Linked DNA regions of Saccharomyces cerevisiae S288C. Changing the gene in region 4 together with the main gene of any one other region gives a genetic interaction. Each region holds a gene or a part of one and is shown on either strand. Other genes may lie near its edges. The genes, in order: FYV8, OCA1, TPT1 and ERI1.

What was found.
Region 1: mutations in ERI1 (region 4) and FYV8 together harm fitness more than expected from each alone (negative genetic interaction), as found in Saccharomyces cerevisiae (2 studies listed by BioGRID).
Region 2: mutations in ERI1 (region 4) and OCA1 together harm fitness more than expected from each alone (negative genetic interaction), as found in Saccharomyces cerevisiae (2 studies listed by BioGRID).
Region 3: mutations in ERI1 (region 4) and TPT1 together harm fitness more than expected from each alone (negative genetic interaction), as found in Saccharomyces cerevisiae (one large-scale study listed by BioGRID).

The regions. Positions count from the first base shown.
Region 1 is NC_001139.9:886,555-895,786, reverse strand, and holds FYV8 (Fyv8p), read left to right. Parts: upstream 1-3,600; coding exon 3,601-6,054; downstream 6,055-9,232. Other genes in the region: YPP1 (Ypp1p), read right to left, coding at 1-1,094; SNG1 (Sng1p), read left to right, coding at 1,647-3,290; exosome non-catalytic core subunit SKI6, read right to left, coding at 6,165-6,905; XKS1 (xylulokinase), read left to right, coding at 7,912-9,232.
Region 2 is NC_001146.8:438,067-445,607, forward strand, and holds OCA1 (putative tyrosine protein phosphatase OCA1), read right to left. Parts: upstream 1,218-7,541; coding exon 501-1,217; downstream 1-500. Other genes in the region: MIC27 (Mic27p), read left to right, coding at 1-251; Ras family GTPase RAS2, read right to left, coding at 1,536-2,504; PLS1 (Pls1p), read right to left, coding at 2,731-2,853; PHO23 (Pho23p), read right to left, coding at 3,300-4,292; 40S ribosomal protein eS7 RPS7B, read right to left, coding at 5,332-5,760, 6,106-6,249; YNL095C (uncharacterized protein), read right to left, coding at 6,846-7,541.
Region 3 is NC_001147.6:120,846-128,192, forward strand, and holds TPT1 (tRNA 2'-phosphotransferase), read right to left. Parts: upstream 5,845-7,347; coding exon 5,152-5,844; downstream 1-5,151. Other genes in the region: myo-inositol transporter ITR2, read left to right, coding at 3,156-4,985; IZH4 (Izh4p), read right to left, coding at 6,137-7,075. UniProt on the Saccharomyces cerevisiae protein: Catalyzes the last step of tRNA splicing, the transfer of the splice junction 2'-phosphate from ligated tRNA to NAD to produce ADP-ribose 1''-2'' cyclic phosphate.
Region 4 is NC_001148.4:364,309-371,543, forward strand, and holds ERI1 (Eri1p), read right to left. Parts: upstream 2,428-7,235; coding exon 2,221-2,427; downstream 1-2,220. Other genes in the region: MGR2 (Mgr2p), read right to left, coding at 78-419; tyrosine--tRNA ligase MSY1, read left to right, coding at 644-2,122; PNG1 (peptide-N4-(N-acetyl-beta-glucosaminyl)asparagine amidase), read left to right, coding at 2,619-3,710; EEB1 (medium-chain fatty acid ethyl ester synthase/esterase), read right to left, coding at 3,763-5,133; Sec63 complex subunit SEC62, read right to left, coding at 5,531-6,355; putative GTPase NOG1, read left to right, coding at 6,670-7,235. UniProt on the Saccharomyces cerevisiae protein: Probable component of the GPI-GlcNAc transferase (GPI-GnT) complex in the endoplasmic reticulum, a complex that catalyzes transfer of GlcNAc from UDP-GlcNAc to an acceptor phosphatidylinositol, the first step in the production of GPI-anchors for cell surface proteins.

The DNA.
Region 1 (9,232 bases), on a different chromosome or scaffold from region 4:
ATGAATGAAATTATGTCACGGTGGGAGTTATCGTGCAGTTGATAGTACTTGTCGTTGTATTTCACAAAATTAACAAAATTTAGTATAGATTCTCTTTTAAATGTCTTCTTCTTTATTTCGTCATTACTGTTATCGCTTAGGTTTTGGAAAAGAAACATTGCTGTTTTCGAAACTTCAATACTTTGAAAAGTCTTTTCCATTGAAGATATTATGAAATTATACCAACTGGGATTCACTTTTATTTTTTTTATGTGAGTGAATTTGAAATAATACTGCAAAAAGACATTAAAATGCTCCAAAGCTTCATCATTTGTCTCACTAGCAGTAGGAAATTTGGCCTTCAACAAAACGTTCTGTCCGAACTTCAAATAAAGATCATCATTATCAATGTGCTTTTTGAGAGGTGACTGGAACTTCTTTATCATGTAAAGGAAAAGAATAAAAGGATTTTCGACGGTAGTTTTAAAATTTTCTGCTAAATCCTGAATTTGATTGAACCTGAGTTTTGCGACGATCAAGCTGATGTATTCGAAAAGAAGACCGTTTGATTCGGGAGGGATCGTATCCACGTGGGCCAGTAGTTCTTTGTAAAAAACATTTTGCATGATATTTATGTCTTGCGAAACTAGACCACGGTAGTACAGGTTTTCTACGATCAAATACCTATCATACTGCTCCATAAGTGCTGTTTTTTGCGATGCAGTGTTATTATGAATTTTCAACGAGTGCAGCAAGCACCGCTGCGATTCCTGAAATTGGCCCCTGTGGAAGAAAAGAATACCGAGGCAATTGAACAGAATTTTCTCCACTAGTTTTGTAATCTCCGGATAGTCATTCAACTCCTCCATCATACTCATATTCTTTTCTAAATTTTGACTTTCCTTCAGTAAAACATCACAAACTGGTTTTGCAGGCCCATTCGATCCAATAACATGGTAATGTAGTCTAAACTGTAAGTTAAGTACGGAATCTAAACTATCAAACCCTGAATTGAAGGTGCTGCCACCTAAGAGTCGCGCTCTTAGCGCTTGGTCGACCACATCTATTATCTTCGATGGAACAGTAGGAGGAATCCGAACATTTGAGTTAGGCATTGGGCAAGTTGGTATTGAACTTCTTTCCAGCTGGCGTGTTCAACTTGTTCCTTCCAGTATGCCACACATTATGCCTTGCACACCTAAAGCACATATTTTCGTTATTTTTCACCACAATAGGTGGATCTCGAAAAGGATGGAAAATCAGGAAAAAGAAATGTTGAGAAAAAAATAAACCGATTCCCGTTTAGTTTTCTCCTATTTCCGTGTATATGCGTGGTTATTCGTTTTCGAATCCTTTTATGAATGTCCGAGGAGGTGGTACAATCCGAAATAGACTAAAGAAAAGCGAAAGCCGTGAGTTTGTTTGATGATAGATGACTCGCAGCTTTGTCATCAACGGGCCACCCTATTCGAAGAAGGGAATGGAAAACGGACTGGCGTAGTCAATAAGCGTCTTCATATCTTAGCATTGTTGAGAGATACATAGTGTACTCCATATCGTTCTTTTTTTTTGTATATATCAAGCCACATATCCTGTTTCTTTAATCTTTTATACGCCGTAAGAATCGGGTACTGACATAAGTGTAAGTAGCCGTACAGAGAACAAATATGACTAAATCGGTTGGTGATGAAGAGTCACAGTACATTGAGGACCCTAGTTTTGCAGCAGCAGCTGCATTTACTGGCGGCAGGGACGGGGTTTCGTACAGTAATCAGCGATTTGCTGAGGGTTCCGGCCATTCTTCTGACTTAGCAAAGTCATTAGAAGACTATCGGCCTCCTGATGAAAAGCCGTCCTCATTGTCATCTGTGGGGGAAGGTGGCGCTAATGAGGAAGAGAAGGGCGGTAACGACGGCGGTCCCTTGGCAAGAATTCAAACAGGGCTTTTTTCTCCAAGACTGCGAAATCATAGGAAAAAGATTCTCTCGAAGTTTGTTTTGAACAACTTCTTCATTGCTTGTGTGTGTGTATCGCTCATATCGATTTACTGGGGTGCCTGTTACGGAACAGATCGTTACTTTTTCAAAGTGAAAAATATTGTTGTATTGCAGGATGCGCCATCTAATACTTCAGTTCAATCTATTTCCGCGATCATACCCTCATTGTTAGCGTCTGTCCCCGGGACATGGCATATATACAACGCAACATCATTTCATAGGAAATTTGGTACGACGAACTCCACCGAAATTGACAGAAAGATAGTCGATTTAATTTACGATGAGAGATACTGGCTGGCGTTAAACGTTAAACCTAATGCTACAGACACTTTGTATAATTCTTTGATTAGCCAAGACGCAAACTCGGAGTTCAATTCATCAATTTTTTTTGAATCCGTGTTTGAAAGTGGTCGTGACCCATCGAGTGTTAAATCGACCATTCTACCACTCATGCAACAATTGGAGGTCCGCCTTCAGAAATATTACGTCAAGGAATATCTTCCCTCATTGATGAGCAACATCACTTCTAATGACAGAGATCTTAATATAAACATGGAGAACTGGGCGATTGCAGGACAGTTGTTGTTCACCTACAACGATTATCGTCCCTTTGCTGATCGTATTCTAATGGCCCCTCTGCAGGTCGGTCTGATTTATTGTATTTTGTTAACCGTTTTACAACTGTCATTATATGGTAAGTTGCACGGAGAAATGGCCAGAGTTCTGAAGCCAAAGCATATTTTAATCTACAGGCTTCTAATTTCCTGGGCAACTTATTTTCTTCTTTCCATTGGATTCTGTACCGTATCTGCAATTTTTAGGATCGATTTCACCCCCGCCTTTGGCAGAGGAGGATTCGTAGTATATTGGATGTCTACGTGGTTGGTAATGATGGCTGTTGGTGGTGCCAATGAAAACGTTCTCAGCTTAGTTATAGCTTACTGCCCTCCATACCTGAGTATTTGGTTGATGACGTGGATCATATTAAATATTTCTGCTTCATTCTACCCAATGGTTTTGAACAACGAATTTTACAGGTACGGCTACATAATGCCAATCCATAATGCCGTGGATATCTATAAAGTGATTTTTTTGAATTTAACCAAAAGAAAAATGGGAAGAAATTACGGTATTCTCGTGGCATGGGTTGCCCTCAATACATCCTTGATGCCATTTTGTATGAAGTTTGCAGGTAAAAAAATGCAAAAAAATGCTATGCAAGCAGCAGAAGCCGCTGTCGCAGCAGCTACCCAGCGTGCTAGCCGCCCGGCAGAGGCCAATACTGATAAAAATAACAACCCGCCCGGAAATTAATGGGTAGGGTTAATAGCTTATTCATATATACACTTAATACGATTAAAAATTATTTATATTCTCATCATCATAAGATGAAGATGCAAATATCACAACAATTATATAACGTCGTTTGTTTGTTTGGTGACACATTAGTGTTTCATTCCGGGTAGCTATTTTGTTTTTCTCATGCCAAGAATTCTGTAAGGCACTTAAAAGTATTCCTAAATACCACTTTCATACATGGTTAACAAGGTAAACACAAAACTTGCATTATAGTTAAAAGGGACTGTTTGATCATTACCCTTTTTCTGGAAAGCGGATATTTATTATGAGCACTGAACAGGTCGGTAGAAAGAAATCGTATAGATGGGTTAGCGCATCTCAAGCAAGTTATGACGGCGCTGGATGGGACAGTAGTGACGAATATGACTACTCTTCCGAGGATGGCACAAAAGGTTCAGAAATTCACAAGCAAAAAATATCTAATTTGCCTAGTTTACCCAAGCTCAATTATACAGATGTTAATGGTGAGCATGATGAAAATACGGGTGAAAATAAAGACAGCAATGATAATAACGTCAGTAAGAGTGATATTAGTCCTAGTGACAAGGAAGTAGGCTATCTCTCAGATGGGGTGCCTAAACTTATGGCTTCAAGAGAGTCTGTGGAATTACAAGCGAAAAAATCCAGCGAGCACTCCAAATCAGATTATCTTTCGTCGACAGCATCTTTGAAAAGTCCAAGTGAAAACAAAAAATCACCACATACAAATAGGGCTGTAAACGAAGACCTAGACAATTTGATAGAGCAAATATCAAGGGAGATGACACCAGAAATTAGGCAAACATCTGATTTTCGGCGTGATTCAGACAGTTGTGACGAAATCCAAAACGAAGCACCATTAGGGGAAGCGGTACCCTCTTCATCATCTCCTGTAGAAGAAGATGAAAAATCACATTCCTTAGGGGTTTCAATGGATACTAATGAAGCTGATACCACTTTCAATACGCCAACAAGGAATGGAAATGAACATTTGAGTAGTGATGGCGATGTTTCTGAGCAGAAAGACGACGAGTTTAAAGTTTCCGAAAGAGGCTACCTTGCAGATATTCTGCCTGCGGAGAAAGAGGAGAATTTACAACAAGAAGATGATGGTGAAGTCGAGAGCTCAGGAGCTTTGGAAAAGAAAGAAAAAAGTGAAGAAAAGACTAGTATTAGGAATAGGAACTCTACATCTAGTGGGCAAGATAAAGTAGCAAAGCCGAAACCCGTAGCAAATGAAACAAAAACTAGTGATAATGGATATCGAAATTCTTTTTTCAATGATTATCAGCATTCGTCAGACTCTGAAGAAGATGATAACAACGAAGGCAACAGTGGTAGTAGTGATGATGATAATCGATCTTCGGTTAGTGATAAACATGCTGATATTAACCGGCAATCGAAACAACTTGATACAACTGACGATGATGCATTGTCGTATACCGAATCAATAAAATATTCGACAAATGAGACAGAAGAAGAAGATAATGAAGATAATGAATCCATAGAAGACAAAAACGAAGATAATGAATCCATAGAAGACGAAAATGAAGATACAGATAGCTATAAATTTTCTAATAGGGAAAAAGGTTCCATTCTACTTACGAGTGATGAAGAGGAGGAGGAAAAAGGTATGAGCTCTGATTCAGATGAAGGCAGTCTCAAGGCGCCCAAATCAGGTTATTTCTCCAAAATGATTGGTAATGATGATAAAGGTGATTCAGCATTGCAACCTAATCAAATAGACACCATTGAAAATACCAATTTGTCAAATAGCGGTTCTGAATTGGAAAACAGCGATGGCAGCGATGAGGAAGACCACATAAATGAAGACAAAGTTTTGGAAGAAAGTTCAGTTAAAGACTCCACTGATGTTGATTCTTGGAAGCCGGACAGTGAGGCCTTACGATCAGGGTTCGTACAGGATACAGCCAATAAGAAAGCGCCACCAGGTTACGTGATCGATTCTAACGGGAAGCTAGTAGATTTAACACCTGCTAGTATGAAACCACGTGTTGTATCGACTTATTCAGAGATGGAGAGTACTTGGGATGCATTCCCTTCCAAAGGCGAAGATGACGATTTGGAGACAATCAGGGACACTAAGACTATATACGACAACAATACGATTTATAATGTTCCCGGTTTGATTGGTAACCAATCGAATTTGCCACCTCTACCGATGGACGCACAGGAACAATTAAATGCAGGAAACGATAATAGTACAACAGATAATGATAATAGTAACAATACTGCCAATGATTTGGCAGCGCGCAGTGCATCTTTCAAAAGTGAAAACAGAACAGTATCTCAAGGCGAAATGACAAGCGTCCATGAACCCAGTACTGAAGAAATGGCGAAATTGGGGCAGCAGAATAACTTACCGAAATTAGATATGAATAAACTACTGAACAGTAAGACTTCGCACGCCGGTAAGATAGAACAGTTGAGAAATTATAAGCGTGAGCTAGATGAATATGATACGGGGATACAAACATGGATAAATTATACGCTAAAATCATCCTCTAATAAGGATAAGGATTTCATAGCTGAGGAGTATAAGCAGCATAGTCACGTTAGGGAAGCATATGCGAACGCGGACGATTTGAGTAAGAAGCATACTGTCATTAACACGGTTGCTAGTGTCAACCAAAATGTAACGCACTTAAGGAGAAAAGTTTTCCAGCATTCTATGAAACCAAAGGATTTATTCGCATCAATAGGTAAGAAAAAACTGTAAGCGTTTTGCTTTACGGTAGAAACACGAAAATGTAAATGCGTTCAATTTTCAATTTTACTGTTTTTTATGTACTTTTATATAAACAGTGGCAATTAATGGCGTTTTTTATTCTACCTAGCAGAGGCGTTACTGACTCTTTTCTGAGCATGTTTCCTCAGTTCTTCATCCATCAAATCTCTTACCCTATGAGCACCTGCGATGCCGATGGCAAGAACGTTCTCTAACCTATCTAACGGAATTTTGTCTTCCACCAATAAAAGAGAAAGTTTTTCTGACTTCCCTACCACACCTAGTGTCACTGTACTCATAGCATTTTCTTCTAATGAATTGGTATCTAATAATGGGGTAGTATCGTACAGCCCGACGGATATACCACTTATGTAATCGAACATTGATATACCGGCATCTATTAAAGCGAGGGTAATACCGTTGATTAAAGATCCCATAATACCGCCATCTTGCTCAAGGACATGGATCTCGATATCGATAACTGTTCTGGGGTAGATATTCAGCATGACATTCTTCTCAAACATCCTCACCAGGGAGGTTTGTATCTCAAGAACACGCCTTTCATTCTTGTGGCTTGATTTACTTCTTTCGAATTTGGAGAATTTTGTAATGTTTACCGATACGTTCAATAAAGCCTTTGAGGTATCCATTTGAGATTTCAATCTTGGCTCTTTTGGACCTTTAACAAGAGTGATAATTTTGTTGTTACCTTGTTCCATGTAGGATGAACCGTCTGCAGCGTGCGGATGTGTGTTGATGGAACTTTCAAAACGGCGGAGTTCATTCCATCGACGTCCATCGAGACGTAGCCCTTCTGGCGAGTATATTTCTAGTCTTGACATATGATGATCCTGCTGTAGTTATGGCACTAAAGTTTTTTTGTAAATCTTTTTATATGTTAATAGATTTTACCAGTGGGACCCTGGAAAGAAAATATGTGTAAATGATGTTTTCTTTTGGATGATGTTCATTGCACAATGGTTCGCAATGTCATTCATTCATCCATTTCTTCTAGCTTTTCAATTATTAATGCCTTAAAATTTTTCAATTTCACCGCGTTACCCGAAGATGTAAATGTACCTACTCAAATAAAAGGTTCCTTGCTGGTTGGCTTTCGTAGCTAAATTGAGTGCACGTTACAAGATTATAAATGCGTTTATATATATATATTCCAGTGAATGATCTACTTTTGCTTAAGCGGCAGAATTGCAAATCTTAATTTTTCTTTTTTGTTTATGTTTTATTTCCTTGTGACAAATAAAATTTTTTTCTCTTCTGAATTTTTAAAACTAAAGAACAAAATATTAAAATAAACAAACAATTCTCCACTTTTTCTTCTTTTGGTATAGAAACTGATAGAAATGTCCTAGACCCTTAATAAGCAAAACACTCATCATTATAACGGGAAAAAATTTGAAGCAAGCTCAAAAGAGATATATATATCATCCAGCATAGACTACTATTAATTTCTATCATAATTGCAATAAAAAAGGAAATATTTAGGGGATCAAGACCATTATTCCATCAGAATGGAAAAAAGTTTAAAAGATCACGGAGATTTTGTTCTTCTGAGCTTCTGCTGTCCTTGAAAACAAATTATTCCGCTGGCCGCCCCAAACAAAAACAACCCCGATTTAATAACATTGTCACAGTATTAGAAATTTTCTTTTTACAAATTACCATTTCCAGCTTACTACTTCCTATAATCCTCAATCTTCAGCAAGCGACGCAGGGAATAGCCGCTGAGGTGCATAACTGTCACTTTTCAATTCGGCCAATGCAATCTCAGGCGGACGAATAAGGGGGCCCTCTCGAGAAAAACAAAAGGAGGATGAGATTAGTACTTTAATGTTGTGTTCAGTAATTCAGAGACAGACAAGAGAGGTTTCCAACACAATGTCTTTAGACTCATACTATCTTGGGTTTGATCTTTCGACCCAACAACTGAAATGTCTCGCCATTAACCAGGACCTAAAAATTGTCCATTCAGAAACAGTGGAATTTGAAAAGGATCTTCCGCATTATCACACAAAGAAGGGTGTCTATATACACGGCGACACTATCGAATGTCCCGTAGCCATGTGGTTAGAGGCTCTAGATCTGGTTCTCTCGAAATATCGCGAGGCTAAATTTCCATTGAACAAAGTTATGGCCGTCTCAGGGTCCTGCCAGCAGCACGGGTCTGTCTACTGGTCCTCCCAAGCCGAATCTCTGTTAGAGCAATTGAATAAGAAACCGGAAAAAGATTTATTGCACTACGTGAGCTCTGTAGCATTTGCAAGGCAAACCGCCCCCAATTGGCAAGACCACAGTACTGCAAAGCAATGTCAAGAGTTTGAAGAGTGCATAGGTGGGCCTGAAAAAATGGCTCAATTAACAGGGTCCAGAGCCCATTTTAGATTTACTGGTCCTCAAATTCTGAAAATTGCACAATTAGAACCAGAAGCTTACGAAAAAACAAAGACCATTTCTTTAGTGTCTAATTTTTTGACTTCTATCTTAGTGGGCCATCTTGTTGAATTAGAGGAGGCAGATGCCTGTGGTATGAACCTTTATGATATACGTGAAAGAAAATTCAGTGATGAGCTACTACATCTAATTGATAGTTCTTCTAAGGATAAAACTATCAGACAAAAATTAATGAGAGCACCCATGAAAAATTTGATAGCGGGTACCATCTGTAAATATTTTATTGAGAAGTACGGTTTCAATACAAACTGCAAGGTCTCTCCCATGACTGGGGATAATTTAGCCACTATATGTTCTTTACCCCTGCGGAAGAATGACGTTCTCGTTTCCCTAGGAACAAGTACTACAGTTCTTCTGGTCACCGATAAGTATCACCCCTCTCCGAACTATCATCTTTTCATTCATCCAACTCTGCCAAACCATTATATGGGTATGATTTGTTATTGTAATGGTTCTTTGGCAAGGGAGAGGATAAGAGACGAGTTAAACAAAGAACGGGAAAATAATTATGAGAAGACTAACGATTGGACTCTTTTTAATCAAGCTGTGCTAGATGACTCAGAAAGTAGTGAAAATGAATTAGGTGTATATTTTCCTCTGGGGGAGATCGTTCCTAGCGTAAAAGCCATAAACAAAAGGGTTATCTTCAATCCAAAAACGGGTATGATTGAAAGAGAGGTGGCCAAGTTCAAAGACAAGA
Region 2 (7,541 bases), on a different chromosome or scaffold from region 4:
TACCATGGGTATTGGCAGCAGCTACATTCAAGTATTGGGCTCCACAGACATCACAGAATTTGGTCAATGCCACTGAAAATGATTTACTGCCAGCTGATTTCGTCAAGTCATATCACAATACTTGGAAACGAATTTATGAGGAAGGATATGTTGCCAAGAAATGTGATTTAAAACGTCAAATCGATCAGACATTACAAAAAAATATAAGGTATGCAAGGGAACAGCTTTATGAAAAGTTGGAGCAAGCATGATATCAAGCGGATATCTTTTTTTGTTCATTATCATGTCCATAGTAAGTATGTCCATATATAAATCGGATAATTAATATTCTATAAAATTACCCATTAAATAAATTTCATTTATTTTGAATTTCATTTCGTGTGATCTTTAGAAGTTGGTTCGCGAATGGGCCGTGCATCCTGAAACATTTCAAACTTTAGGTAAATGGTCATAAAGCTCAGTGCTTTTTCTTTATCTTTTGCATTTTTTTTTTCTTGCCTCTACTCCAAAGCTGTCAGTAACCAACTTGGTGCTTTATTTTTGTCTATTTTTACTAAATTAGTGTCGAAAGCTTCTATAAGCAACTCTACAAGAATTCTACCACCTCTGCTACCAGTAAAGCGTCTATATTCTTCGGATACACTGGCTAAGTTCCAACCCATTATTCTTCTGAGACATCCAATGACTGTCCCAGTCCTATGTCTTCCCATACCACAGCACACTAGCAAGGGATAATTCTCTTGAGTGACGATCGTTTGTAGTACATTAATTATAGAATGTTCAGTGAGACCGTCCCATGGATTATCGTCCTCACCGGCATCCGGGTTGATGGCTGCGAATTGTAAGTTTATTCTATGAGTATCACAAAACTCTAGGAGGGTATCTTGAGGTTCTTCGTTAGACAGCCATATAATTGTTTTCAGTTTTAGGTTTAGTAAAAAGGGGAAATTCACAGGTGAAGGCTGACCAGATCTATAGAGGTATCTTTCAACGGGACAGAAATTCAAAGGTGGAACGATACGTTCTTGTGGGGCATGTGATACCAAGACCTTTTCGCGACCAGATTCTGTTTCTTCATTGATATATATATGATCATCATCGTCGTCTTCTTCCTCGTCTTCGTCTTCTACTTCTTCTTCAGGTACGGATACGTTCTCTTCTGTGAGGCGGGACTCATCCTCTGGAACGTCCTCATATTCACCAACTTTAGATGTCATTCTAAGGGGAAAGAGAAGCTTGTTATTCCAGGTGGAACACCTCTTTCTTGTGAAAATGGATGTGATTGATGACTCTCTGCAATGTCCAATTTTATGTTATAGCGATGTTGTTTGTTTTTTCCTTTACCCGGCAACCATATGATATTGCCCAAAGTTTCCAATGTTAACAAGAATGAAACGGAAATAGCAAATGGCAATAAGCAATATAAAAACAGTCACTTTTTTATTTACTTTTGTATATATTTATAAATGTGTGTACTCGTTTCAACTTTATAGAGTTCTTTTCGTCTTAGCGTTTCTACAACTATTTCCTTTTTATTAACTTATAATACAACAGCCACCCGATCCGCTCTTGGAGGCTTCACTGGTGTTACCGCCGGGTGCAGCTTGCTGCTTCCTAGCCTGTTTAGCATTTGAAACTTGACCGGCCTTACTATTATTATTTACACGATTATTAACCGTATTAGCGCTTTGAGCGTTGGCCTGACCAGCTTGGCCCGTGGAATTGTCTATATTGGTGCGATCAGTTTGTGTCTTACCATTTGTCGCCTGGTTGCCTGCCAACCCTGTCTTACTCTCTATGCTTGCATTCCTGGCATTCACGACAGTTGTGCTACTGTTCACATTTTTACCGTTGGCAGCATTGCTCATCTTCCTGTGGCCACCGCTATTTCTAGGCACAGAGTTGGCACCGCTCCCTTTTGTATCTTGAGAAGTTTGCTTGGAGTTGTCATTTTCCGTCAAAGTCTTGTTGTACTTGCCGCCTTCGTCTCTAACTAAACGTGCTAGAGTGTAAAACGCCTCTTCCACGTTGATTGCTTGCTTAGCAGATGTCTCCAAGAAAGGAGCGTTCATTTGCTTTGCCATGTTCAACCCGTCCTGGTAAGAGACCTGTTTTTCGTTTTCTAAATCAGATTTGTTACCAACAACCACAATTGGAACATAGTCGGTATCTTTGACTCTCAATATCTGTTGATAGTAAGTCATAAGCTCATCAAGAGACGACTTGGACGTTATAGAGTAAACCAATAGGAATCCTTCGCCGTTGCGCATGTATTGTTCCCTCATAGCAGAGTATTCTTCCTGCCCTGCAGTATCCAAAATGTCCAATATAGACACTTCATCATCAATCACCACTTGCTTCCTGTATGAATCCTCAATTGTGGGATCGTATTCATCTACAAAGTGCGATTGGGTCAATTGTATGGTCAAAGCAGATTTACCAACACCACCACCACCAACGACGACTAGCTTGTACTCTCTTATGTTCGACTTGTTCAAAGGCATTTTTTTTTCTGTATATCTCCTTTCAATTCGAAAACGGTTAACTTGGTTTTTTTATCCGTAATTCTCTCGTATCTTTCTGCTCAAGTAATTTTCTCCTAGTTGATTAATATAGTGCAGAAGAGTCAGATAAAGAGTGGATGAATAAAATGGAAAAAAAACAAAAGCCGGATTGCGTTACGCTTGAAATGAGCGATTCTAGGCGATAAGAGAAGACAACGGCTAAAACTTAAGATGTTGGGGTACTATAAATGTTTACCCAGATTTTCGGTAGAAATGTTTGCTGATGTGAACCTTGTTTCCCGTTTTCCCAGATCCCCTTATTCCAGCTTTGTTTCGTCTTTGCTGTCATGTTCCGTTTAATTTCTGAAGGCCTGCCTAGCTTCACCGTCCTAAATGTCACGCTCCAGGCAGAGACATGGCGCAGGGGCGAGGCCAGGGGCAAAGGGGTCAGGCAGGAACCTCCAAGGGGGGCGAGGTGAATGAAAAGGTCCTTCTGAATAAAAAGCCTAAGCGATTAGCCACACCACCCACTGTACGGCGATTAGACTGAGCTGCTGGCGCTGCTACGCCGTGACAAGTCATTTCATCATTTATTACGTTTTATCGTGCCGTCATCACCATCGATTTGAATATTTTATCTAGACCGGTAGGGCCCAAGTATCTTGCAGATCCATTGATACGGCCACGCCCGTTAAAACGCTAAGATATATATATATGTAGCTAAGATATATATATATGTATATATTCGGTATTTAGTAGATATTTCCTTAAGGCGATATTCGCCCGAGAGCTATTTCACAGTTTTTTTTTGCAGTCGTCGCAATACCACTTGCCCTTAGGTAGAGTTTCGAGTCCAATACATGGCAAATGGAACCATTCTAGCTCACAGTCTGCGCCATCACACCCCACCATTTCCCCGTATGCCACTTGGTTACAGTAGCAGTAGAGCGGTTCGCCGTAGTCGTTGGTTTTTGGTCTTGATATCCTGCTGTTGTTGCTGTTTCCGACGCTGCTAACTCCCCTGGACGCTGTAGATGTACCTATCCTGCCATTATTGACGGCAGTTGCCGTGCTGATAGTGCTTGGTGAAACGGCTGTGGTGGCAACTCTCCTCTTGCGTTTTTTGGTCTCTGGATCGGCGTTGTTGGTATTGGCAGCGTTGGCTCTTTTTCTTGAGTTTGTGTTGTTACCAGTGTGGTCTTGGCTCTCGTGCCTGCTGCCTCCGTAGTTTGCGTCGTTCTTTGAGTCGTCTTGTTGGTGTGTGCTGGCGGAGTAATGTTCGCCCTGCCTCCTGTTGGCAGCCATGGCTTCTCTTCTTGATTCGCTCTTCAGTGCCTGCGACGATTTGCTGTTTGATTTGCTCTCTATTTTTTCCATTAGTTCATGATGGAGGTGCATTGCTGGATGGTTGTCCACACCCAGTCTTAAACCTCTAGGAATTTCTGTGTTCTTGATTGCGACTTCATACGCCAATTCTAACCGGGACGTCAATCTGTCTAGATTATCCAGCATAATGGATGAGACATGCATTTTCTCCTCCAGCGATGGCATCAGTTCTTCATAAATCTTGTTGATATTATTGAGCAGTCTTACTTGTGTTTGGTGATCTTTATTGAAGTCTTTCTTCAAGAACTTATCTATCCTCTCGTTCAAATTCGGCATAGAATGCACACATTTTGCATCTATTTCGTGTAGTAATGTTAAATATCTGGAGGTGGCCAGTGGGAATTCCTCCAGCACGTCAGTTATGTCGTTTAATCCAGGGAATAGGTTCGCTGGTGAACTCATTTGTACGTATTTCAGACTATGAACGTGGTTGCTGTTTGTGATACTGCAAGACTACAAACTTTTCTCCTTCCGGGTTCGTCCTGTTGTAAACGCCTAACTCTTTTCCTTAGGCTCCTTTTTCGTTTTTTCCCTAGCTCTTTCTTTCTTCTTCATGTGCATGCACTCTTTCCTACATATTTTTTTTTCAAGGGCATTTTTAACTTTCTTCGGAAATCGTCTAAGAATTGTAAACTATAATTGCAAATACGCGATTAGCTCTATCTAGAATACCGAAAAAAAGGTTTGCCACTCACAATTGGACGTGCCTCAATTATTTCAAGTATACGTCATTTGGGCTTTTGACTTGTAAAATATACTCAAATGAAATTCTGATTATACAAAGTTGAAACACGTAACACGCCATGTCAAGGTACGCGTAGAGGTAAGCAGATAATGCATGGACAATGTGCTGGGCGAAGAGGCGGATCTAATTACACATACTTGGGATCATCTAAGATTTCAGATGGTTATGTTAATGCTCACTTGTTCCACGCCTTTTTCCTTTCCTTCAGATAAGTAATCCGCATATCAATGTGAAAGAACTAACGGTTGTTGATGGACGTATCGTTGTCTAGCGATAAATAATGCTTTTTCTTCAACAAATAAGTGGTTGTTTGGCCGAGCGGTCTAAGGCGCCTGATTCAAGAAATATCTTGACCGCAGTTAACTGTGGGAATACTCAGGTATCGTAAGATGCAAGAGTTCGAATCTCTTAGCAACCATTATTTTTTTTCCTTTTTATCTGATTGCAGCGAGAACTTGGGAAATCAACCCAATATGTATTCCAAAATGTCAAAACACCAATTAAAGCATCTCTATATTGACAGATACAAAATATATTTAAGTATACATTCATAATTATTTTACTCGAATTAAAAAAGCCCACTTTTTGGAAACCTCCTTTTGTATTCTCATAACTATGTTTCTTTTTTTATTATTTTTTCTTAATATTATTTTCTTTAAGTATGACAAATGATGAGAATGATAGTTATCTCACTATTTAGTTGGTCTGGCTTGGAATTTCAAAAACAATTTGTTTGCCAGTCAACTTGTTGTAGACAGCTTGGAAAGATTCCAACTTGTAGTCGATTTGTTGAACATCCTTGGAGTCTAACAAAACCTTTTGGATCTTGTTACCACCAACCAAATATCTAACTCTTTTACCGACAATTTCAGTTGGGAAAACCATGTCTTCCAAAACCTTGTCGTGAACAGCAGTCAAAGTTCTGGATCTTGGTCTCTTTTGGACTTGTCTAGATGTTCTAGATGGTTTTGGCAAGATTCTTCTTTCAGCCAAGAAAATAACATGACGGTCAGGGAATTTCTTTTCCAATTCACGGGTCAATTTGGTTTGGACCTTATGGTATGCAGACAAAGCTGGAACTGGGACAAAAAGGACTAGTGCTTTCTTACCACCGGTGACATCAATCTAAACAATAAGAATCAAGCAGCGTTGAAATAAAGTTAGTAACTGAATTGGTTCATTCATAACAAAAAAGGGTTTGTGATTCTTCTCCTTGGGGTAAGGTCTTTTTCGCGTGCTTCTATTTTATTCATCGATATTGGTACTGACCAAGGAGGCCTTTATAGTTCAAAGGCTCATCGCAACGTTCATGGTATTGACAGCTCTCGGAATTACTATTTTTCTCGAACACATGAAAATTTCATACAGATACTGCTCAAAATCACTCTTTTTTGAAAAAATTACTGCAAAGAACCCCTTTAGAAGAAATCACAATGTTGCTGCTTCCAAATTATATAACTTTTAACATACTTCTCTGATAGATTTGATTTGCAATGGTCTCAAGTCAGCCTTTAGTTCTGGAGAGGAGCTTTCTAGATCGATGAAGGTCTTGGCGACTTGTAATTCCAACTCACTTGGAGCTTGGGATAAGATCTTGGATTGGACAGAGGACATTGGTCAGTTATGTGTCTAGTCTTTAGTGTGTTGGTTTCTCTTCTGTTTGTATATACAAAGTCAAATAACACATATTTTAACCATAATCAATAGCATTTGGTATTTCCCCCTCCGCGTATTATGAACGCCTAGTGAGCCCATTCTTCCCTAAAGCCAGGCTGGAAACCCAAACTGTGTGGAACGTGACTGAATTGCATTTGGTGAGTTACCAAGCAAAGGCTCGCAGGCTTGAACCACATTTTACCAGGGCGCTCGCTTTTTCCGAAATATTGAAATTAAGCAAAACAATAATGTACGGATTTAAAGAGGTACGGATGGAGACCGTAGAAAATTGACTTTTTTTTTTTTTTTGTTATTTTCTGTGCCTTTCGTAACTACTACTATGCAGAATGACAGGTAGTTGTTGTTTCGAATTGCTACTTTCACGCATTCAACTTGATCAACATTTCTCTCTGATGAAAGGTTGTGGAAAGTTTGGTCGTGTCTATAAGTAGGTGTTTTTTATTAGTTCTATATAAAAATGGAGAATGTTAATTTTAACCCACCCTAAAACAGTGATTAGGAGTGGTAATAATTTTTTGTTTAATGGATTAAAACTAAAGGTTCATCTGTACTTTCAGAAAGTAAGACACTAAAAATGGCAAGCTAACAACCATTAGCGGGTATTGCAGCATTAAGAAAAATGAAACACACTCCATTTGGATTGGCGCAGTTGTTTCTGGCGGCGTAAAACTGGCGGTGAAATATATAAGGGTAGTCATCGTTGGCAAGTTCCAGCTGATTGCTATAACAAATAGTAGCATTCTATCATCTTGCCAATTAACCCATCCAGCTTTCACTAACCGATCACACCATAGGACACCAAAAATTGGCATGACACATTGTCTCAAAATGACGAGTGTCACAGCGGCTTTCCAAAATCCAGGATAAAGGTTGCCAATCTTTAATCTTCCTAAAGTTGCTCCTAATAATATCAACCCAAATGGAACACATGCGGCACCGACATAACCTGTAAAATCCATGAAAAAGCTTAATGGTGGTGCATTGTCAGGAGCTTGGCTTATGTGAGGAGTATTAGCGGTAGTCACGAACAAAGCCTTGACCCATGGGATAAATGCAACAGTTAGGGCGATGATCACGGCCATAGAGCACGGTCTCAAACAATTCTTTAGGAAAAACACAAGTAATGGAGTTAATGAAAATTTTCTCATCCACTGTGGTAATGATTCGCCGGATGTTTCAATATCCTTTTTACTTACAGTGGCATCTGATGTTAAGATCCTGGTTAGGTT
Region 3 (7,347 bases), on a different chromosome or scaffold from region 4:
AGCAACCGAGAAATGTCCTTTCAAAAGCTGTGAGTCCAACCGATTCCACACCTCCGTCAACTCATACTGAAGATTCGAAACGTGTTTCTAAAACCAATATTCGCGCACCCAGAGAAGTTGACCCCAACATATCTGAATCTAATATTCTTCCATCAAAGAAGAGATCTAGCACCCCCCAAATTTCCAATATCGAGAGTACCGGTTCGGGTGGTATGCATAAATTAAATGTTCCTTTACTTGCTCCCATGTCCCAATCTAACACACATGAGTCGTCGCACGCCAGTAAATCTAAAGATTTCAGACACTCAGACTCGTACAGTGAAAATGAGACTAATCATACAAACGTACCAATATCCAGTACGGGTGGTACCAACAACAAAACTGTTCCGCAGATAAGTGACCAAGAGACTGAGAAAAGGATTATACACCGTTCACCTTCAATCGATGCTTCTCCACCGGAAAATAATTCATCGCACAATATTGTTCCTATCAAAACGCCAACTACTGTTTCTGAACAGAATACCGAGGAATCTATCATCGCTGATCTCCCACTCCCTGATCTACCTCCAGAATCTCCTACCGAATTCCCTGACCCATTTAAAGAACTCCCACCGATAAATTCTCATCAAACTAATTCCAGTTTGGGTGGTATTGGTGACTCTAATGCCTATACTACTATCAACAGTAAGAAAAGATCATTAGAAGATAATGAAACTGAAATTAAGGTATCACGAGACACATGGAATACTAAGAATATGCGTAGTTTAGAACCTCCGAGATCGAAGAAACGAATTCACCTGATTGCAGCTGTAAAAGCAGTAAAATCAATCAAACCAATACGGACAACCTTACGATACGATGAGGCAATCACCTATAATAAAGATATTAAAGAAAAAGAAAAATATATCGAGGCATACCACAAAGAAGTCAATCAACTGTTGAAGATGAAAACTTGGGACACTGACGAATATTATGACAGAAAAGAAATAGACCCTAAAAGAGTAATAAACTCAATGTTTATCTTCAACAAGAAACGTGACGGTACTCATAAAGCTAGATTTGTTGCAAGAGGTGATATTCAGCATCCTGACACTTACGACTCAGGCATGCAATCCAATACCGTACATCACTATGCATTAATGACATCCCTGTCACTTGCATTAGACAATAACTACTATATTACACAATTAGACATATCTTCGGCATATTTGTATGCAGACATCAAAGAAGAATTATACATAAGACCTCCACCACATTTAGGAATGAATGATAAGTTGATACGTTTGAAGAAATCACTTTATGGATTGAAACAAAGTGGAGCGAACTGGTACGAAACTATCAAATCATACCTGATAAAACAGTGTGGTATGGAAGAAGTTCGTGGATGGTCATGCGTATTTAAGAATAGTCAAGTAACAATATGTTTATTTGTTGACGACATGATTTTATTCAGCAAAGACTTAAATGCAAATAAGAAAATCATAACAACACTCAAGAAACAATACGATACAAAGATAATAAATCTGGGTGAAAGTGATAACGAAATTCAGTACGACATACTTGGCTTAGAAATCAAATATCAAAGAGGTAAATACATGAAATTAGGTATGGAAAACTCATTAACTGAGAAAATACCCAAATTAAACGTACCTTTGAATCCAAAAGGAAGAAAACTTAGCGCTCCAGGTCAACCAGGTCTTTATATAGACCAGGATGAACTAGAAATAGATGAAGATGAATACAAAGAGAAGGTACATGAAATGCAAAAGTTGATTGGTCTAGCTTCATATGTTGGATATAAATTTAGATTTGACTTACTATACTACATCAACACACTTGCTCAACATATACTATTCCCCTCTAGGCAAGTTTTAGACATGACATATGAGTTGATACAATTCATGTGGGACACTAGAGATAAACAACTGATATGGCACAAAAACAAACCTACCGAGCCAGATAATAAACTAGTCGCAATAAGTGATGCTTCGTATGGCAACCAACCGTATTATAAATCACAAATTGGCAACATATATTTACTTAATGGAAAGGTAATTGGAGGAAAGTCCACCAAGGCTTCATTAACATGTACTTCAACTACGGAAGCAGAAATACACGCGATAAGTGAATCTGTCCCATTATTAAATAATCTAAGTTACCTGATACAAGAACTTAACAAGAAACCAATTATTAAAGGCTTACTTACTGATAGTAGATCAACGATCAGTATAATTAAGTCTACAAATGAAGAGAAATTTAGAAACAGATTTTTTGGCACAAAGGCAATGAGACTTAGAGATGAAGTATCAGGTAATAATTTATACGTATACTACATCGAGACCAAGAAGAACATTGCTGATGTGATGACAAAACCTCTTCCGATAAAAACATTCAAACTATTAACAAACAAATGGATTCATTAGATCTATTACATTATGGGTGGTATGTTGGAATAAAAATCCACTATCGTCTATCAACTAATAGTTATATTATCAATATATTATCATATACGGTGTTAAGATGATGACATAAGTTATGAGAAGCTGTCATCGATGTTAGAGGAAGCTGAAACGCAAGGATTGATAATGTAATAGGATCAATGAATATAAACATATAAAACGGAATGAGGAATAATCGTAATATTAGTATGTAGAAATATAGATTCCATTTTGAGGATTCCTATATCCTCGAGGAGAACTTCTAGTATATTCTGTATACCTAATATTATAGCCTTTATCAACAATGGAATCCCAACAATTATCTCAACATTCACCCATTTCTCACCTTCAGCTCAAATCCTCATCCCGGAACCTTTTTTCTTATTTGTTCCCTCTTCTACTACAAGAGCTTTCAAATTGTAGTCAAAAACCCGCTTTACTAAAAAAACATCGCCAAAAAAATTTCCAAAATCGCTCGTCTTGCCACTAAAAGTATGCAAAATATTATGTGAAGCAAAGTTATTTCGTGTCTTCCGCCTAACAGAACGTAAGCAGTTGACCATACTTTAGTATAGAGTACGAAAAAACACAAAGAATACCTTAATAAAATAAACATTGTCGTTCGCTAGGAAAACGGTAACGAAAACAAAAAACTAAAAGAAGAAAAGAGGCAGGACGCAGTAAAAGCAAGAAAACTGCTTTTTTTTCATGGCTGAAATGAAGAATTCGACAGCTGCTAGTTCCAGATGGACGAAGAGTCGTCTCTCCCATTTCTTTCCCTCGTACACTAATAGCAGTGGTATGGGGGCCGCCTCAACTGATCAATCTTCTACGCAGGGAGAAGAACTGCACCATAGGAAGCACTGTGAAGAAGACAATGATGGTCAAAAACCGAAAAAGTCTCCCGTATCCACCTCTACAATGCAAATAAAATCTAGACAGGATGAGGACGAGGATGACGGTCGAATTGTCATTAAACCAGTTAACGATGAAGATGATACATCAGTGATTATAACTTTCAATCAGTCAATATCCCCTTTTATTATTACATTGACATTCGTTGCGTCCATTTCTGGGTTCATGTTTGGTTATGATACTGGTTACATATCGAGTGCGCTAATTTCTATCAATAGAGATTTAGACAACAAAGTTTTAACTTATGGAGAAAAAGAATTAATTACGGCCGCCACATCATTGGGCGCTTTGATTACAAGTGTGGGCGCTGGTACTGCTGCTGATGTGTTTGGAAGAAGACCATGTTTAATGTTCTCCAATCTGATGTTTTTGATCGGAGCAATTTTACAAATTACCGCGCACAAGTTTTGGCAAATGGCGGCCGGTAGACTGATTATGGGTTTCGGTGTCGGTATTGGTTCTTTGATTTCTCCTCTTTTTATTAGTGAAATTGCTCCTAAGATGATCAGGGGTAGGTTAACCGTTATAAATTCCCTATGGCTGACAGGTGGTCAATTGATTGCTTACGGTTGTGGTGCGGGCCTGAACCACGTCAAAAACGGTTGGAGAATCTTAGTTGGTTTGTCCTTGATACCTACTGTTTTGCAGTTTTCTTTTTTCTGTTTTTTGCCGGATACACCAAGATACTACGTAATGAAAGGCGATTTAAAGAGAGCAAAAATGGTTCTCAAACGAAGTTACGTAAACACTGAAGATGAAATAATTGATCAAAAAGTTGAAGAATTATCTAGCTTAAATCAATCGATACCAGGAAAAAATCCAATAACAAAATTCTGGAATATGGTCAAGGAATTGCACACTGTGCCTTCAAATTTCAGAGCTTTGATTATTGGTTGTGGTCTACAAGCCATTCAACAATTCACAGGTTGGAATTCCTTAATGTATTTCTCCGGTACAATATTTGAAACTGTTGGATTCAAAAATTCTTCTGCCGTTTCTATTATTGTCTCAGGTACTAATTTTGTGTTCACATTAATAGCATTTTTCTGTATTGATAAAATCGGCCGTAGGTACATTTTACTGATTGGACTACCTGGTATGACTGTGGCGCTGGTTATATGTGCTATAGCGTTCCATTTCCTAGGTATTAAGTTTAACGGTGCTGATGCAGTAGTGGCATCTGATGGATTTTCATCTTGGGGCATTGTCATTATCGTATTTATTATTGTGTATGCAGCCTTTTATGCCCTCGGTATCGGCACTGTTCCATGGCAACAATCGGAATTATTTCCACAAAACGTCAGAGGTGTAGGGACATCCTACGCTACTGCCACCAATTGGGCAGGTTCTTTAGTCATTGCGTCTACGTTCTTGACTATGTTACAAAATATTACACCAACGGGTACATTTTCATTCTTTGCCGGTGTAGCATGTTTATCAACCATTTTTTGTTACTTTTGTTATCCAGAACTATCAGGATTGGAGTTAGAGGAAGTTCAAACAATTTTAAAGGACGGATTCAATATCAAAGCCTCTAAAGCTCTAGCTAAAAAGAGGAAACAACAGGTGGCCGAAGGTGCTGCCCATCATAAACTCAAATTCGAACCTACACAGGAAATTGTAGAAAGTTAGACTGCTACACCAACAAAAAATAAAAGATAAAGAACAAAAAAGAAGGAAGAAAGCTATAAAAGGGAGACAATTCATTTCATCTAATCTTAAAAGTTTTTATTTAAATATATAAGTAAGAGCGAAGTATTTAAAAATAAAAATTCATAAAAGTTGAGCTTGATGAAAGTTATATCTTTTCGAGCGGTATGTTTCTTTCGTGTAAAATTCTTCTTAAAGTATCTAACTTCTCCTCATCTTTCAAGTTTCCTTTAACTACAACTTTTTGGATCAATTCAACGGGAATACTGCTGCTTAAGTAAACATTATTGAGCGACCTGAACATTTTCAAAGTTTGAAAGAATAATGGAGAATGGCAGTCGATGAAAATATAGACGTTACTTGAAGAACGCATTCCACTAATAACTCCCTTCGCGTGCAACATCCCCGGCGATAAATGGACATGATTTCTACTCATTGGTGATATTGCTCCGGATTCAATAATCTTTATGACAGATTGAAGATTTGTTCCATGAATTAGTTCCTGTGGTAACTGCGACGCTTCAGTAATTGGTACGAGAACCTCATCTGATGGCTGAATCGATTTGATTGAATGTCCCTGAGTAGCACAGATCCATTCTTCGTCCGCTCCTAACGTTTTTATATGAAAGCGTTGTTTGTCATTTTCCTTAACAATGCGATGGATATCATCCACCGTACATTTATGAGTTTTCAATCTATTATGAGACAATAGTTCTTTCAGCGGTGTATAACCGTTTGAGTCAATAGTCAACTTTTCTTTCACCGCTGTATGTCGAAGCAGATATGATAAAGCTTTGGAAAGCTGTACATCCCTTTTATCTTTTTGTAGTACCTGGCGCATTGTCAAGTCCACCTTTCCCAGTCATTCTGCTCAATTCTGTAATAATGTATTATGCATTTTGCCATTATTTTGATGAGCTTTCCTCGCGTCACGGTGTCAGTAAAAAAGAACAAATACATCACGAAGACAGAAATACGGACAAGAACCGCAGAAGACATTAAAGTCAAAACATGAAGCTTAATTCAACTCGTGTAAGTATCTTTAAAGGAGATACACTTCCCATTCTTGAATTATTTTTTTATTTAATTTGCCTTATTTATTCAATTATTTATTATGTGAGCACCAGCTGAGTCTAAGACTTGAAATTAATTAATTCGGGCTGATTCAAACTTGAATGCATCAAAATATAAGATTGAATCAAAATGAAAAAATGGTAAAAAGCCGTACCAGAAATCAAGAGATGGAAAAGGTACTCGGAATGATTCCAACCTTCTTCCTTTTTATTTCGTCTGAACAATGATTCAGGGAACCTGGTAACGTAAATTATAGATGCCGCTACCAAAGCCACAAGTTCCCACGTAATTGCGTTCACTTTTATCCTCTCTTTCAGGTTTTCTAAACCATCAAAGGTGATTATTGCGGTTAATAGTGGCAAGGAACAACACACTACTGATACCGAAATGAAGAAAACTGTTTTATTGAATCTTTTCGAGGAAATGAGTTTGTCCGTCAATATAAAAAAGTATGCCACTAATCCTATGAAGTTCATTAAAAGGGTAAAAATTTTGAAGAAAAACACGTAATCATAGAATAGATAATAAAGAATTGTGATTTGTGATGATATCAATAAGTTGATATTCGATAAATACGAAAACTTCTGCCAATGTTCGAGATGTTGTTGTAGAGAAATATTTTTGACGAAGTGATAAATGAAATGCACCATACAAAATACAAAAACGTTCAATAAATAAAAATTGAATACAATGTAGTCTGTCATTGTAGTGGTGGTGGGGAACAAAGGTATCAAATAAAAGTCCGTGAAAAATATTAGGAGACAAAATGACAGCATCGAACCCAAGAGATATATTAGTGCTACTAGTGACTCGTTCCTACTGGATTTATTTTTGTACTGTTTCTGCAATTTTGCCAAGTCATGGAATGGAAAACCCTTCTTTGTTTCTTTTGTCTCTGCATTCTCGTTCGAATCTGTCCCCCTAGTATCATTGCTCTCTTTCTCAGTGGTTGTCTCGCATTTGACTGGGCTTTGCTCTATTGTAGTCAATGAAACCATACTGTCAATATATATGTACCTTTATACCAATATTATATGCGCTGACAAGAACTTTAAGAAATTAATTTCCTTTTCTACTTTTTTTCATTTTTATTTTACTTCTGCGTCCATATATCCGGACCATATATATGAGTGTAAATCATTTAGCTGTTGACACCATTGAGTATTTACAATTAAAACCAATTGAGCTCAACAGGCTTGCGTTGAATAATGTTGAGCTGCCCAACGAGCCCTTTTCTCGCGGAGTGCTGTCCGAATTGTCCGAGTTTTTA
Region 4 (7,235 bases):
TTAAATAAAAATAAGCAGATAAGTAACAATGTTTAAGAAAACGATGGGGAAGCGTAAATATATGCAAAATTTCCCCCTCAGTCCTTACGTATACCGTATTTGGCACGAAGCTTCCACATTTCCAGTCTTGCCTGTTGCTGTAGGTTCAGGTTAGGATGGGACATTGGACTACTTTCACTATCACTTCTGATTATAGACCCGATGGACATAAATAGCCCAAAGGTACCCGCTGAACCAGCAATGTATTTCCCTAGTGTTCTAACTACACCATCAGGACCTGGGCCTTGAGTTGCGATGGCAAATCCACCAAATAGGATGCCTGTGCAGACACCGACGGTAGTACCCATCATCAACCCCATTTTGAATTTGTCCCAATTCGAAGGCTGCTGTTGCGCATAATTTTGTGGAAGAGGAGGCATTATATCTTAATATTGGACTTGAAGCTGTTGCGCTATTTGTGCTATATGATCTTGTGTGGTGTTCTGTGCTTCCTTCTTATGGAAAAGTAGTGGAGTCTGTTTGGTAATGTTGGTCTTGTTCGGGAGTTTTGAAAAGAAAATAAAAAGTGGTTGGCTCATAATGTTAAGAAAGAATTTCCAGTTTCCGATTGAACACAGCAATCTACAGGTAGACATTGTGAATCATGCTCGAATTACGAAGTTGTAGTAATTTGGTCAATAGTAGTAGGAGACTTGTGCCTCTGGTGACTTATTCCGGACTAAGTGCAATAACATTGCCTAAATCTCGATTTTATTCACAGCCTAGTGCTTTAGAAGTACAGGGCACATCGGATTCTCGAAGCGATAATATTTTAGACGAACTCAAACAAAGGGGTCTAGTGTCCCAGGTCTCACAGCCAGAGAGTTTCCTTCGGACGAAGTTGAACGGTAACGATAAGATCAAATTATACTGCGGGGTGGATCCCACAGCTCAGTCACTTCATTTGGGAAATCTAGTTCCACTAATGGTTTTATTACACTTTTACGTAAAAGGTCACGACATTGTCACTGTGATAGGTGGAGCTACAGGGAAAGTTGGGGACCCAAGTGGTAGGAAAACAGAAAGAGACGTTATGGAGAACGATATTAGGCAAAGCAATGTGGCATCCATCTCGCAGCAATTACAAAGGTTTTTCAAAAATGGCCTAGAATATTACAGAAACCGATGTGCTCTCACTGAAGATGTACCTTCCGGAAAATATACACCAAGGAATAATTTCAACTGGTGGAAAGACATCAAAATGTTGGATTTCTTAGCTGATTTTGGTAGGCACATTCGGGTACAATCTATGTTGGCGAGGGATTCAATTTCTTCGAGGCTTCAAACCAAAAATGGTCTGGGATTTAACGAATTTACTTACCAAGTTTTACAAGCGTACGATTTTTACCATTTGTATAAGGAAGAGAATGTGACTATACAAGTAGGTGGTAACGACCAATGGGGAAATATAACAGCCGGTATCGATCTCATCAATAGGATACAGCCTATAAAGAATAAGGGTTTGCCATTTGGTATCACTGTGCCCTTGTTGACGACGGCTACAGGAGAGAAATTTGGGAAAAGTGCAGGCAATGCTGTTTTTATTGACCCCTCAATCAATACGGCGTATGATGTTTACCAGTTCTTTTATAATACTTTGGATGCTGATGTACCCAAGTTCTTGAAGATCTTTACGTTTTTAAACTCAAGTGAAATCAAAAAAATTGTGGAAACGCATATCAAATCACCCAGTCTACGTTATGGCCAAACTTTATTGGCTAAAGAAGTCACAGATATGTTATATGGAGTTGGCTCCGGATCGGATTCAGAAGCGCTTTCTAATATTATTTTTGGACGTTATGACGGAACTTTATCTGCTGCGAAGTTAGTTGATCTATGTAAAAAAGCCAGAATTTTGCAGTATGCTGATAGAGAGATTGACTTAATAAAGTTAATTTGTAAACTAGTAAATTGTTCAGTATCAGAAGCCAGAAGAAAACTTTCCCAGGGAAGCGTGTATCTGCATCATTCAAAATCTAAAGTAAACGAAAATATTTCTAACTTGGCTCCTTTCCTGATAGATGATCGAGTACTGATCTTGAGGATAGGAAAGCAGAAGTGTTTTATAATAGAAATGCGTTAAAAAAAAGGGAGGTATATAAAGTACATGTATAAAATAGGCATGCGTGAGGTGATATTATATCATTTTATGCACTGACTTGTAAATAAGATTATAAACGATTATTCATCTTTACTACTTGCGAACATTTCACTGTCACACCAGGCTATGAGGGCCCACAGCCAGAGAGTCGCAGGGCATAGCAGTAATACACACCAGTAGTGCAGGAAAGAGTCATTGTTGCGTAACCAGTAAAATGTAGCAAGACTAATTAGGAGTACCGAGTAAGTAAACCCTAAAACCAAAAAGCCTTGGTCACGTGGTCTCATGCGCTTATAAATTCTCAATCATGTAATTGAAACAGTCCTGTTGCCTAGTTTCAACTGTTCTATGCTTCTTGATGTTTTCGAAACTTTGCGTAGTGTAATCTTCCTTGTATTGTAGCGAAGAAAAAAGGATGCGTTGGGAACAGATATAGAAGACGTAAAACAACCTGAAGAAGGTAACAGGTGGAGTAGCAATGGGAGAGGTATACGAAAAAAATAACATAGATTTTGATTCAATAGCCAAAATGTTGTTAATTAAGTATAAGGATTTCATACTGTCTAAATTCAAGAAAGCTGCACCTGTAGAGAATATAAGGTTTCAGAATTTAGTCCATACAAATCAATTCGCACAAGGAGTCCTAGGTCAGAGTCAACATCTCTGTACAGTCTATGACAATCCTTCATGGCATTCTATAGTCCTGGAGACATTGGATCTGGATCTAATATATAAAAATGTTGATAAGGAATTTGCCAAAGATGGGCATGCAGAGGGGGAAAATATATACACGGATTATCTAGTAAAGGAGCTGCTTCGCTACTTCAAACAAGATTTTTTCAAATGGTGCAATAAACCAGATTGTAATCATTGTGGCCAGAACACTTCAGAAAATATGACACCTCTGGGCAGTCAAGGGCCCAATGGAGAGGAATCTAAATTCAATTGCGGAACTGTTGAGATCTATAAATGCAACCGATGCGGAAATATCACTAGATTTCCTCGTTATAACGATCCAATTAAGTTGCTGGAAACTAGAAAGGGAAGATGCGGTGAATGGTGCAATTTATTTACTTTGATTTTGAAGTCGTTTGGGTTAGATGTTCGCTACGTCTGGAATAGAGAAGATCATGTTTGGTGTGAATATTTTTCAAATTTTTTGAATAGGTGGGTTCATGTCGACTCCTGTGAGCAATCATTCGACCAACCATATATCTATTCAATTAACTGGAACAAGAAAATGAGTTACTGTATTGCGTTCGGTAAAGATGGCGTTGTTGACGTTAGTAAACGCTATATCCTCCAAAACGAGCTGCCCAGAGATCAAATCAAGGAAGAAGATTTAAAATTCCTTTGTCAATTTATAACGAAGAGGTTGAGGTATTCGTTAAATGATGACGAGATATACCAACTTGCATGTCGCGATGAGCAGGAACAGATAGAGCTGATTAGAGGAAAGACACAAGAAACGAAATCCGAAAGCGTCAGTGCCGCTTCGAAATCATCTAATCGTGGTAGAGAAAGTGGATCGGCGGATTGGAAAGCACAGCGTGGGGAGGATGGTAAATAGAGAAATAAAAGAACAGATTATTATGTGTAAGGAATTTTATCTAAGAACATATTTATAAAACTAACTCATCAAAGCTGCCCAAGAACTCGGCAGCTTGCTTTGTTAACCAGGAATTACTTTCATTGTCGAGATAAGCCAAATGTCCACCCAAGTCAGTCTCGCATAACAACACACAAGGATTTTCTCTAGCTTGTTTGTACGGAATTACGTTTTCACCTGTAACTGGATCATCCGTTGCGTTGATTATTAAAGTTGGGATTTTGATATTAGGCAATCTATTTATCGAACTGGCCTTTCTATAATATGTTAACCCGTCCGGCAGGCCCATCGATGGGGCAGTGAAAAGATTATCGAATTCTAATATGTCTGTAAATTTTTCAGCCTTTTCCAAATTTTCTCTGGTATACGTATAAAAGACTGGTTTCTCAACTGTCGGTTTGTGCGAAACCTCAAAATTCTCTGGTACCTGCAACTCATTCATATTAACCTTGACAGTCCTTGTTAGAAATTGTGTTAAAGTTCTAGAAAAAATATGGTTGGACCACCAATCATGAGCCAACTTGTCCCAAGTGTGTACGAAATCCCATGGGTTTGAGAGAGCGACTGCAGCATTTAATGGACAGTTATCTCCTTCTTCACCTAAGTAGTTCGTTAGCATGGCTGCTCCAAATGATGTTCCGACTGCATATATTTTTCTTTGCGGAAATAGAGCTTTTTGGTGGTTCAAAAATTCTCTCACATCACCTGTGTGTAATGCGGTAAAGATTCTACGGGTGGTGACTTTAGATCTTGAGCAACCTCTAGCATTAAGGACTACCACTTGGAATTTACCGTCACCGACTTTTGATAGATCTTCAGATAATGCCCTGATGAGAGGCTCATGGCTTCCCCCTGCAAGACCATGAAGTACTACCACTAAAGGGTAAGAATAACCCTTAGAATGACATTTTTCAAGTTCCTCAGAGGATAGATATCTAGTTCTCGGGTGAAGACGAGGCCAACCCTTTGGATGGGTGGCCTTTTCATCGTTCGAAAATTGTTTCTCGTTAAAACTAGCCTTTTCAGCATTTAATGAATATGTTTGCTCCCATTCAGGCATAACCCAATCTGCAGTGCAGACCCCTCCATCAGAAAATTTTATAATCTCTCTTCCATAAAATACCTGAAATTTTTTGGAAAAATCACCGGCTGACAAATAAAGGGTCTGTAAGTAACCTGTGAAAAGCAAGCTGTTTAACCTAAAATTTGCACCATCTTTGAGTGTAGGCACGTGTTTGGTTACGAATTCATGAAGAGGAATTTGGCGCTTAGAATCTCTGAAAGCCAAAGACTTGGTTCCTTTCTCTCCCAGTACATGTTTGACGGTGCCGTTATAGCCCCAATGGCTAGGAGTGACAGTTGGATAGTAACCCGAGCGAAACATTAAAATGACAAATATGAAAATACTTGATATCTTGATCTTTTTGCTAATCTTCAAAAATACCGAAAACTAAGTAGGCAACCAGATGCAGAACCCTTCTTATATAATCGATTCCTGTAAGCAAGTGTCAGCAAATAGCTTCTATATAGAGACCTTTCGGTGAAAGTATATTAAAGCCGGCCGGAAATTGAGTAATAATAACCGCTAATTATGCGGTGTGTGGATTCAGATTTTTGCCAGGAGCGATAACCTTCAAATCTAAAACTACTCACTATAAGCGATGAAGCAACCAGATGGTAGCGCTTTGGTGCCGGTTCTCTTGAAGGTTTGTACATGTGCGAGTTCATGAGGTTACAATATAGAAGGTTTATACAGTAGAGCTATACAGGATAATGGAAGTTCAGTTTTGTTCGGCTTTTTCATTGATGGCTTTCTTCTTATTGCTTTCTCTCTTGGCTTGTTTCTTCTTCATTCTTTTCAGTTTCTTTTTGTAACTATAAGTATCCTTCTCACCAAAACCGTAAAGTGGCTTAAAACTCTCTAGTACACCGCAATCTTCGAACAGGTTGGGAAAGATCCAGAACCCACCAACATCTTTGTAGACAATTAATGACAAAACATATAATATCAATCTCAGGATAGCGACAGCAAAGAAGCCTGCTAAGATGCCGAAGGCACCCAGAGACACATAATAGGAGCCGCGTCTCATGGAGCGCGGCCACAATGGGTAGCATACGAGCGCCAATATGATGGACACGACACCAATGACGATCAAGTAATCCATGTAGGTTCTAGGGTTATAGTTCCAAACAAAGTATTCATCGGCTTCCAATTGTGCTTTATTCGAAACAATCAAGTGCGGAAAGTCCTTGCTTGGCTTCAATCCATGCTCTTTGCATTCTTGACTATGCAATTTTTTCACTGGGATCACCATTTGTGCCTTTATAAGTTGAATAAAGATTTCACGTGACTTAAGCTGGTCTTCGATCTTGTTAGAAGGTATAGTTGGATATATCTCTGGCTGTCTTGCAGATTTGTTGGCATACTCCTCAGAATGCAGTGCCCTAACAAATCTCTTGTAACGGAAGAAGTCTGTCTGCTTGGCCTGGAATAAACCCTGCCTTTGCTTCAACTCCTTATGGTTGCGTAAAAGAGTAGCAATGGCTGTAGCAGATCCGCCATTGACACTAGCACCTGCATTGCTACCTGGACCTACGGCTGACATGTTCTCCTGTGTTTGCTCGGCTACCATACTGCATTCAACTGCAATTATAAAAGCCCACTCTTCTCCCTCTTGATTTGTATGCCAGTATTGGGAAAACGACACGTCTATTCCGTCGCACACGATCTTCACTTTCTTTTTTTTTTTCAACTGAACGAAAAGTTTTTTCCGCAGCTCATCGCAAAGAAAAATTTTCACCTATGTACTACCTCATCTAATACAATATAAAGAATACACTTCAGATTTAGGAGTTGCAGCGTTTATAAAAAAGTAAGTGTACCCTCCAAAAGCAAACACATCTCCCTCCTATACCGAAGATGCAACTTTCATGGAAGGATATCCCTACTGTCGCTCCAGCAAATGATTTGCTGGATATTGTCTTGAACAGAACCCAGAGAAAGACACCAACTGTGATCAGACCTGGTTTCAAGATTACAAGAATCAGAGCGTTCTATATGCGTAAAGTTAAATACACAGGTGAAGGTTTCGTGGAAAAATTTGAGGACATTTTAAAGGGTTTTCCTAACATCAATGACGTGCATCCTTTCCATAGAGATTTGATGGACACCCTATACGAAAAGAATCATTACAAGATATCTTTGGCAGCTATATCTCGTGCGAAGTCCCTTGTGGAACAAGTCGCCAGAGATTATGTCAGATTGCTAAAATTCGGTCAATCTTTATTTCAATGTAAACAATTGAAAAGGGCCGCTTTAGGTAGAATGGCAACTATAGTCAAGAAATTGAGGGACCCATTGGCCTATTTGGAACAAGTCAGACAGCACATTGGTAGATTACCATCGATCGACCCAAATACCAGAACCTTGCTGATCTGTGGTTATCCAAATGTCGGTAAGTCCTCGTTTTTGAGATGCATTACCAA